Saccharomyces cerevisiae S288C: one gene and its partner. The protein of the gene in region 1 binds, or shares a complex with, the protein of each later gene. Each region holds a gene or a part of one and is shown on either strand. Other genes may lie near its edges.

Region 1 (7,515 bases):
TGATCTGATTGTTTCCTTTATTAACAACAAATCCACTGAAAAAAAAGTCAATAATTTGATGGATATTAGCGAATGTTAACCGGAAATAGGAGTGAAAGACGTGTATTACAAAACTATGACTATGCCTGATTAATATCCTGAATAACTAGGCATGAACCTTTTTTCACGCAAATAATAACAATAGGCCTAGGATTTCTATGATATAATAAACTTTCTGTTAGTATAAAAAACTATTTTTGATAAATATAGTCTCTCACCTAGTCAAAAACATACGTATCACGGCTTGATTAATTCTTAACTCTACTTTACAACATTTCAAAAATTCCTTTGATCATGACCTTAATCAATTTTTTTGCCAGTTAGTGGAGAGTTCCCAGCGCTGGAAAGTGCTGGCGTCAGTTTTCCATCGGAAGAAAAAATTAGCCCACCATTGTGCGTCCTTGAATAATAGCGATCCGGGTTAACCGGGAGTGTTAATTATAGAACAAAGAAACCCACACGTCCGCTACTAAAACTTGCTAAAAGAAAGAGTTAACGCTGTAGTATGCATGAATTCCAAGGCTTCTAAGGCTTCTAAGGCTTCTAAGGCTTATCCAGTAATATTATGTAATATTATATATACAGTGAAAAGCGGAGTTCCATCAGCTATGGTTCGGATATCATTATTAATTGTTCTGTTGTGTTCCGATTAAGGAGGCTGCGTTAGTTACGCCTGGTAGATCTAGAGATGTTCTCGCTCTTTCCACAGAGTAGCGGTTATCTAGTTGGTTAGTGGCGATCATCTGTTCTCTTGTGCGGTCCAAGGATGACCTGACGTTGGTTGATGGGCCTCTTCCGAACGTTTGGGCCTGCTGAAATTGGGGCGATTGAAGAAGATCTTGTGTTTCCTTGGGTGAAGTCATCCAGGTTTCTTGCTTCTGATATCCGCTAGGACTTCCATCTTCACCGTGCATGAAAGTCATTGGAATCTCCTCTGTGACAACACTATCCCTTGAATAGTTCGATCCTCCTAAGTTGTCGGAAAGTGCTATGCCTTCTATAATCTTCTCTCCGTGTTGCCCAGCTTTTGTGACCTTGGGTCTGTTGGGATCTGTTGGATCGTAACCAGGAGGATAATGATCGAAATGGCCATGTTGCCACATCTCTCTTACTATTTCCACATCAGTTGGGTAGAAAAATTTTTGAAAACTGTCATATGTGAAACGGGGCAGTAAGCAGAACAGCACGGCAACAAAGAAAACAGCCCAAAATGAAGGTGCTCCATAGATACGCGCTGCAGCTTTGAAAAATTCTCTACTAGCTATCGCAGAAGACCATATTCCCGTCCATGCAAAAACTACGAGGCAAGACAGTGCAATGAATAATCCACTAAACCAATCCCATCTATATTGGTGTAATAAAACATATGTGTTACACGAAATTACAGCAATAGTGGTCACATAAACACCGACAAAATAACGATGATCCAATCCTAACCCATTGCTCGTAACTATCATATTTTTGTGATAAACCAAGTAAGGGAAAAAAAAACAGATAATAGACTGATATAATCCGTCCAACATATACCATAAGAACTTTCTTTGGTTCCATTCTTTCCTTAAAATTCCAACACGGTATAACTGAGGGACCACTAATGATATTGTGTCATTCACGTCCTGGTCCAGAATACCTAAGAAGATGACTGGTAGGGATGTAAATGCCAAATTATAGAACATCATGTATGTGTATTCATACAGGTAAGACCCATCAAAATCATTATAGATACCATACCAGAACAATGCCAAAGCAAAAATCATGTTTTTGTAAAAAAACTCAGGAATCATTTCTGCCAGTCTCTTATAAGACCACCTACCGTGAACGAGGACCAATCTAGCCAAATATCTGAATTGTCCAATGGCGTAGTCTGAGCACATAACAGCTTGTCGACCTTCTTCACCGGCAATACCAATACCAACATCCGCAGATTGAATCATGGCGACGTCGTTGGAACCATCGCCGATGGCTAGTGTCATGACATCTAGAGAATCCTTGACTAACTTAACAACGGCTGCTTTTTGAGATGGAGATACTCTACAGCATAAGACAGCTCTACAATTCTTGCAGAGTAAAAGAAACTTTCTTCTTATATCTTCACCATATAGCGCCAATTTCAAAGCATCACCATCGATAACGATGGCGTAATTACCCTTCGGAAATTCGTGATCCTTTTTAGCTTCAAAAATCTCTTCTTCTGAACCGGTTAAGTTGAAATACTCCTTCAAGTATTTGGAGAGTAAAGCATCCACAATTTCACTTGGTTCTGATCCGAATTCTTTCACGTCATCACCAGTTGTTTTAATAACTAACAATTCCATTTCATTATTCAAAAGGTTGCAAGAAAATCCAATGTTTATAGCTGTTTCAACTTTATCACCCGTAAGAACCCATAATTTAATTCCTGCCTCTGCAAGCAACTCTATACAATCCGGAACACCATCTTGTAAACGATCTTCGATAGCTGTACCGCCCAATAATATCAATTCGCGTTCAATGGAATCTGCAACAACTTCTAATTCATCCTCTCTGTTTGCTAATGATGCAGCAGCAATATCGTACTTTTCGTTCCATTTTTCGTATTCAGACCAACTTAACTCCCTTTGAGCTATGCATAACGTTCTTAAACCTTCAGTAGCGTACTGCTCTAAATGCAAAGCAGTTTTTTCCAAAATAGCTTCACTATTGCTACCACTCTGGCGACTTAATCTTGAGTATATAATGGAATCTGCACCTTTACAAATTAAAAGTGCTCTAGGCTCGTCCCCTGGGTTCAGACCCGGAATTTTGACAATACAGGACATTCTTTTTCTCGATGAATTAAACTCCAAAATATTTAGAATCTCAAATTCTTTTTGAATACCTTGCATTTCAATTATCAACCCTTTTTTGGTTTTTCCAACAAAACTGAATCCTACATCTCTAGCTGTGGCTACTAACGCTGCTTCGTCTGGAGATTGAGCTTTTAAATCCAGTTTTTTTGGATTGTCCGGGTTTGCTTCTACAAGGACGGAGTGACATAAAGCTAATGCTAACATAAAGTGCTCACAGCATCTTTGTTGTACTTCACCACTAGCCCCTTTCAAATCGCGAACGAACTCCTTTGATACAAAGGTAACTTCTTCGGGATAAAATTGTGAATTTCCTGATAAAGCTCTCAGTTCATCGATCATTGTATCCCTATCCTTGGCAATTTCGGCCTTCTCACGCCTACCTTCGGTTTCGACGTCGATACCTTGTCTTTTTCTTAATCCCGCTAACGCTTCGGTGTAAGCTCTTCCATATGAAACACCATTGATAGTACATTTTTTAAACTCCATTACATTTTGAGTTAATGTACCTGTTTTATCAGAAAATATATATTCCACTTGACCTAAATCGTCAGAAATATTCCAGGATTTTGGTGTACAAGGATAATCCAATTTGGCATTGTAGAGTAAAACGTCTCCGTAAATGAAGGCCGCTTGTGCAGTTTTGATGATCTCCACAGAAATGTACAAAGAGATTGGGACTAAAGATTGGTAAAGAATAACAGCAACCCAAAATGAGACGAAACCGTTTGTCGCCGCTGACCCAGCAATTGTTCCAAATTCATAGGAAAACCGTGATCTGCCTTTTTTGTCGTAATATACACCATTTGCAATACCAGAAACAAAACATAAGATGAAAAGTAGCACGAAATTTATCACCACAGAGAAGTTTAGTTCTCTTGAAATCCTGGACTTCTTGGTGGGTGTAATGCCAGAGTTTAACATGATTTTTGTGTCACCACCGGTAAACATTACAACACCCATTGCCCACTTAGTATTTCTAAGAGTGCAACCACGAAGCAGAACGTTATTAATAGTAATTGGCTCATTTCGTATCTCGCCATCTGCAAGATTTCTCCATTTCATATTACCTTGATAAGTGTACAAATTTGAGTGGGGCCCTTCACTTTCGATCCAGAATTTTGTTCTAGCAATATCTTTTGACGTTCTTATAGTATTGGTACACTTCAAGGATTGGCGTACCTTTAAGTTTGTTTCACCATCCAAATTTTTAGTTTCTACGTAGCAGGCACCATCTGTATCCGACGTTGAAAGTAAGATAATGTCAGCAGGGATTTCATCATTGTTATGGATACGAACAATATCACCAACCTTGACACCTTTCCAATAATTCTTGGCAAATTTACAATCAGTTCTGGGTGGTAGGGATCTATCAACTATATTGGCTTCACCGGCCCCTTGTTCCAAATTATCATAATCCAATGAAGGACGGCCATAATCTGCAGATACTCTGTAACTGTCAATGGAGTCTAGAGAGGATCTGGGTCCACTCGTTCCAACAGTTTTTTGTACTCTTAGTTCATGACGCTTTCTCTGCATTCTCTTCTTTTTGCCCTCTTCAGTTAAATGTTCTTTACAATATTGTATAAACTTGAAAAGGAGTCTAGAGTTTGCTTTCTTAAACCTTCTCCACAATGAAATATTATCGGTTGAGACATTTTCGTTCTCAACACCTTCTAAAATATGTGTCTTGGTATTATTCACCTCTAAATCTAGGACGGTTCTTCTTGAGTCTTCAATAGCATCCTTGATCGCAGTGATTATAACAATGACAACTAACGGAACCGCACTTAAACCAGGGTTCGTGACACCAAAAATTTGAAATGCACCTAAAATTATTAAAACTAAGAAATAAACGTTGGCGAAATTATGAAACTGAAATAGAATGTTTTTTGGTAAGAATGTTAACGGGGTATATTTGGTAGTTCTGATTTTATTACGAGGATACTGCATAATGGGGTTGCCTTCTTCATCTATCATATCTTTTGGTAAGGGCATATTGTAATACACAGTCCTTAGTTCTTGCGCACGATTTATGGCACCAGGGTCAATATCATCCTTCGTAAAGTCTTCAAATGGGTTTGGAATGTTCTTCCTAGCCCATTTCAAGGTCTTAGATCTTCCCATTATTGGGTTTCCTTTTTTATTCCTTTTTGTACCCATCCGGAATCTTTTCATACCATCGTAGTTAGTGTGCGGTTCACCACTATCATTGTCTAATTCCACATCATCAAACGTCCCAGATCCATTATTAAGTTTCGGTGTTGGCTGAAAGGAATGATTGTCATATTCTGTGTCATCGTTAAATGTGAATTCTTCTGCATCTTCACGTTTATTTTTGGGTGTTTCATCATTGAAGCTGACCTGTGGCCGGCTGTATTTGTTGCTTGTTGCACCATCATCAAAATGGGTAGGTGCAATATGTGTATCTTCATTACTGCTATTATCTTCAAATTGAAATGTATCTTCAAAGGGCGACATGGGAGCATGCCCATCGCCATGAAAAGTTCCAGACATAATTATCAACTAACTTTCCTTTTTAAAGTTAACTGCGTTTTTATTTCACTTCCAGGAGGAAATAAAGGATTTCTGTTACGGTTGCTTTCCCTTGCTCAACCTCCGGTTAATTTTTGAGTGTTTTTAATTGCGACCCTAAAAATCCACTTAAAACTGTCTGAGTTGCGTATTACGATGACCTTCGGTTATTAAAGGTCAAATTTCATAAAGTAAAAGCTAAGTGAGACTTTGCTCTGTGAAATTTTATCAGCTTTGTACCTCCAGTTAGTTGAATGCGGTGATGAATAGCAAGGTACCCTCACTTGATTTGTCAATTTTTTGTAAATTAGTATTTTCCTGGAACCTGTTGGTCTTTTTTCCGTGCTATTTTGTTTATTTTCCGCGAAAACTAACATTCTGCCGTTAATAATGAGACCTCAAAAAAACGCAACTAATAAACTCAGTAATGAAGTCTAATAATAGTAAAATGATACTTCTCTTGACAGTTAAAAACAAAAAACGTTTGCATTTTGTCAATAAGAGCGAGTATTTAGGTTACAAAGGATAATAACTAGTATTTAAGACAAAAAAAAAAGGGAAGGGAGAAAAAAAAGATGATAAGTTTGTTGAGTAGGGAAGTAGGTGATTACATAGAGCATTAAGCTTGCTCAGTTTGTTGTTCTTGCTCCTTTTTGAAAGACTCATAGGCAGCAGAAGCTTCTTTGTAGTGTTGTTCGAACAATTCATCACTTTCCAACAATGGGAAGACCTCTTGAGGTGGCAAATCCAAAATCATACCAGTAATTTTACCAGCTGCTTCTTCATTTGAAGTCTTAGCAGAAACCTTCTTGTATAATTGTTCACCCAAAGCTTGTCTTTGCTTTTGTTGATAAAATTGGTTGTTATCGTTGGCATTTCTTGGGAAACCACCTTGTGGGGGGACGCCGTAAACCGGACCATTTCTAAATTGAGGTGGCATGCCGTTCTTTGGCATACCGCCCATTGGGTTCATTTGTTGTGGGTTTGGACCGTTGAATGGAACACCTCTTGGTGGCATAACACCATAGAACATTGGAGGCATGAATTGACCTGGCATACCGGCAGCGGCGGCGGCAGCGGCAGCAGTAGCTTGCTGGTATCTCATTTGATTTCTGGCTTGGATTTGTTGAGCCAATTGAGAACGTCTTACGTCTTTTCTTTGAGCAATGGCAACGTATAATGGCTTACCAGCAACAATTTGTTGGTTCTTTTCTGTAATGGCCTTAGTAGCTTCCTCTGGAGTTGAGAAACAAACAAAACCAAAACCCTTAGACTTACCGTTTTCGGTTCTCATAACCTTTGCAGAAGTGATAGTACCATATGGAGCAAATTCTTCTTCCAACTTTTCGTCATCAACGCTGTCATCTAAGTTCTTAACAAACAAATTAACACCTTGGTACTTGGCCATTTTTTCCAATCTGTAAGCTTCGTATTGCTTCTTCAAGACATGCATACGTTCATTCTTCTTTTGGGCACGACCAACGTATAACTTTTCTCCATTTAGTTCAGAGTCATTCAAAGCTTCAACAGCTTTCACAGCGTCTTCATGCTTTTCGTAGTTAACAAACCCGAAACCCTTCAATTTTCCATCAGCATCCTTTTCCAAAGAGGCAGAAACAATTGGACCAAATTTGGCAAACAATTCTTGGAATTGTTCGTCAGTAGTTTCGGAGTTGATGTTTTTCACATAAAGGTTAGTGTAATGTGCCTTAGTCTCTTCCAATTGAGAGTCACGTTCCTTTCTGGACAAGTGAGGAGCAACATAAATTTCTTGACCGTTCAACAGCATACCATTCAAAGCATCAATAGCTTCCTTGGCAGCACCTTCTTCTTCGAAGTGAACAAACCCAAAACCCTTGGATTTTCCGTTTTCGTCGGTGGCAATCTTGCTGGACAAGATGTCACCAAACACAGAGAAAGTGTCATACAAAGCCTTGTTGTCAATATCAGGGTGCAAGTTCTTGATAAAGATGTTACCAGAACCCTTCTTTCTCAATGATGGGTCACGTTGAGACCACATAATACGGCATAATCTACCCTTGATTGGAGTGTAGTTCAATTGCTCAATTGCTTTTCTGCCGGCTTCATGGTCGTTAAAGTTAACATAAGCATAGCC
Region 2 (3,662 bases), on another chromosome or scaffold:
CTAAATCTTTCAGCAATAAATTTCAAGATATCATGGTGGGACCACAGTCTTTTGAGAAAATAAGATTGCTGGGCCAAGGTGATGTAGGTAAAGTTTTCTTAGTAAGAGAGAAAAAGACGAATAGAGTGTATGCTTTGAAAGTCTTGAGTAAAGACGAAATGATAAAAAGAAATAAAATCAAACGTGTTCTGACAGAACAAGAGATTCTTGCCACCAGCAATCATCCCTTCATCGTCACACTATACCATTCGTTCCAATCTGAAGACTATTTGTATCTCTGTATGGAATACTGTATGGGCGGGGAGTTTTTCAGAGCTTTACAAACAAGGAAAACCAAATGTATATGTGAAGACGATGCCAGGTTTTATGCCAGTGAAGTGACAGCAGCACTAGAATATTTACATCTGTTGGGTTTTATCTATAGAGATTTAAAACCAGAGAATATTTTGCTGCATCAATCAGGCCATATCATGCTTTCTGACTTCGACTTGTCTATTCAGGCTAAAGATTCCAAGGTTCCTGTTGTCAAGGGTTCCGCTCAATCAACCCTTGTTGATACCAAAATATGCTCAGATGGGTTTAGAACCAATTCCTTTGTCGGAACTGAAGAATATATTGCCCCTGAAGTCATAAGAGGTAATGGCCACACCGCTGCGGTCGATTGGTGGACGCTAGGGATTTTGATCTATGAAATGTTATTTGGTTTCACTCCATTCAAAGGCGATAACACAAATGAAACTTTTACGAATATTTTGAAAAATGAGGTCAGTTTTCCCAATAACAATGAAATCTCCAGAACTTGTAAGGATTTGATCAAAAAATTACTGACAAAAAATGAATCTAAAAGACTGGGTTGCAAAATGGGCGCTGCCGACGTGAAGAAACACCCCTTTTTCAAGAAAGTCCAATGGTCTTTGCTGAGAAATCAAGAACCGCCTCTGATACCAGTGTTATCTGAGGATGGATATGATTTTGCTAAATTATCATCTAATAAGAAGAGACAGACTAGTCAAGACAGCCATAAACATCTCGATGAGCAAGAGAAAAATATGTTTGAAGAACGAGTTGAATACGACGATGAAGTCTCTGAAGATGATCCATTCCATGACTTCAATTCAATGAGTTTGATGGAACAGGATAACAATTCAATGATTTATGGTAATACCAATTCTTATGGGAAAATTGCATACACTCCAAACTCCAACAGATCGAGGAGTAATAGTCATCGAACCTTTTTTAAGAGATAAAGGGGGCTTTGACGTATAAGTGTCGGTATTTTTTTTTTTTTTATTGATTTTTTTTTCACTCTTATTTTTTCCCTCATTTATTCATCATACATTTAACGAACTCTATTTCTTTTCAAAATCCTTATCTACCTATTTTTTTTTCTTTATTTTCTTTCCTCTGTCAGTTAGTCAGTAGTGTGTAACTTAAATAAATCATATATCGGTGTTTCAATTTCTAGCATTCTGTGTAAACATCAGATGAAGCATTGCCTTTCTTTTCAATGAACTCTATGTAGTTTTTTCGATTTGCTTGCGTACTATTTTTCACGCGATAGTTGAAGAAACGATAGAAGGATGGCGCAATATACAAGTTAAAAGCAAATAGATATCTAATCAATAGTTAACATCTAGAATAAAGTGCTGGAACTTAGATTTTTTTGTGCAATATGGGACTGATATTAAGGTGGAAAGAGAAAAAACAGTTGTCTAGTAAGCAAAATGCTCAAAAATCCAGGAAACCGGCAAACACATCGTTTAGACAACAGCGCCTCAAAGCCTGGCAGCCCATCTTGTCGCCACAGAGCGTACTGCCGTTGCTTATTTTGATGGCATGCGTCTTCGCACCCATTGGTATAGGGCTGGTGGTCAGCACGATAAGTGTCCAAAGACTAGTGGTAAACTACACAGAATGTGATGCATTGGCACCGGCGAAGCATTTTGAAACGATTCCCTCCGAGTACGTGGACTACCACTTCAGTAAGAAAGTCGCAGTCCAACCTCAATGGATGGTACTTACGGATCCTGAATTAGGCAATCAAACTTGTCGAATACAGTTCGAAGTTCCAAATCATATCAAGAAATCTACTTATGTTTATTACCGCCTAACAAATTTCAATCAAAACTATAGAGAATATGTGCAATCTCTTGACCTAGACCAATTAAAAGGAAAAGCATTGATCGGAAATGATCTGGATCCAAACTGTGACCCTTTAAGGACGGTAGAAAATAAGACCATATTCCCCTGTGGATTGATAGCAAATTCGATGTTCAATGATACATTCGGCACAACACTTACTGGTGTAAACGATACTGCAGATTATTTGCTTACCACAAAAGGTATTGCGTGGGACACCGACAGCCACAGATATGGAAAGACCGAATACAATGCATCCGATATCGTACCGCCCCCAAATTGGGCCAAGTTATTTCCCAATGGCTACACTGACGATAACATTCCAGACCTACAAAACTGGGAACAGTTCAAAATATGGATGAGAACTGCTGCATTGCCCAACTTCTATAAGCTAGCAATGAAAAATGAGACCAATGGGTTAGGTAAGGGTATTTACATTGCTGATATAGAACTCAACTACCCAGTAAGATCTTTCTATGGAACAAAATCTTTTGTATTAACCACAAACAGTATTATCGGTGCTGGAAACGAGGCATTAGGGATTGTTTATTTGATTGTTGCCGGGATTGCAACTCTTTTCGCCATACTATTCCTGATAAAAGTCATCTTCAAACCAAGACCTATGCATGATCATAGCTACCTAAATTTTGAGAACAGCGATACCCCATTCGATGAGAGTAGTGTCGTTAGTATTCCATTGAGAGAAATTTTATGATTGATTATCATTTACTATAAAATCCCTGCGTTTGATTCGGTCTCTAGGGAAGCGTTGTAATTTCATGTATATTCAAAATAAGGACGAGGTTATATACCATACTATATTATCTCCTTGCATTCTGTATCAAACACTTTATTCAGTACATATACGATACCTATATATTCATTAAATGTTCTTTTCGCTTTATTTCAGCAAGGTATAGTGCTATTTAAAATCCATAATCGTTATTGCGTCTCTTTAGTCTGTCCTTCATTGCCATTACTCCACTACTTGCGTCTGGTGGCGGCGTTGGCGTGCTGGAGGTGTTGAAACTGTTCGACGTTTTACTTCGACCGAGACTTGCCCTGAATTCTTGGCCTGCTGAAGGTCTAGTCGGCCGTGATGAAGCTCTTCTCGGTGTCGCGCTAGAGGAGCTTGTATGATTATTGTATATATCTTGAAACGATTTACTCGCAGGCGTGTACTCCGGTGTGTTCCCGTTTGAAGAAGGTGTACCCATAGGATCTTCTGAAGAAGCCTTCCTTCTGTTAGAAAAGGATGGCGAGAAATGACGCGAGTTTTGCTTCTTCATATCATGCTTCACTTGAGTATCTAATATTTTACGTTCGTTCGGTAAATCTTCCTTCTCCCCCAACCATCCTGGGAACCCCTGGAAAGGATGCTGATTTTCATAGAATTTCACAAGCCCTTTATGGACCAATGTAGTATTTACAGTATCACCATCTTTTTCTGCTTTAATGGATAAATGTGCCAACGATGTAGATAACGATTTGGTTGACGACTTAAACTTGTTCCAAAATCGCCC

The links.
Region 2: DNF1 (region 1) and YNR048W share a complex: the UniProt entries of both Saccharomyces cerevisiae proteins name them as parts of the flippase complex.

Annotation. Positions count from the first base shown.
Region 1 is NC_001137.3:510,610-518,124, reverse strand, and holds DNF1 (aminophospholipid-translocating P4-type ATPase DNF1), read right to left. Parts: upstream 5,382-7,515; coding exon 666-5,381; downstream 1-665. Other genes in the region: PAB1 (polyadenylate-binding protein), read right to left, coding at 6,019-7,515. UniProt on the Saccharomyces cerevisiae protein: Catalytic component of a P4-ATPase flippase complex which catalyzes the hydrolysis of ATP coupled to the transport of glucosylceramide, phosphatidylcholine, phosphatidylethanolamine, and small amounts of phosphatidylserine from the lumenal to the cytosolic leaflet of the cell membrane and ensures the maintenance of asymmetric distribution of phospholipids.
Region 2 is NC_001146.8:709,958-713,619, forward strand, and holds YNR048W (putative aminophospholipid translocase regulatory protein), read left to right. Parts: upstream 1-1,672; coding exon 1,673-2,854; downstream 2,855-3,662. Other genes in the region: serine/threonine protein kinase FPK1, read left to right, coding at 1-1,247; MSO1 (Mso1p), read right to left, coding at 3,066-3,662. UniProt on the Saccharomyces cerevisiae protein: Accessory component of a P4-ATPase flippase complex which catalyzes the hydrolysis of ATP coupled to the transport of phosphatidylcholine and small amounts of phosphatidylethanolamine from the lumen to the cytosolic leaflet of the trans-Golgi network and ensures the maintenance of asymmetric distribution of phospholipids.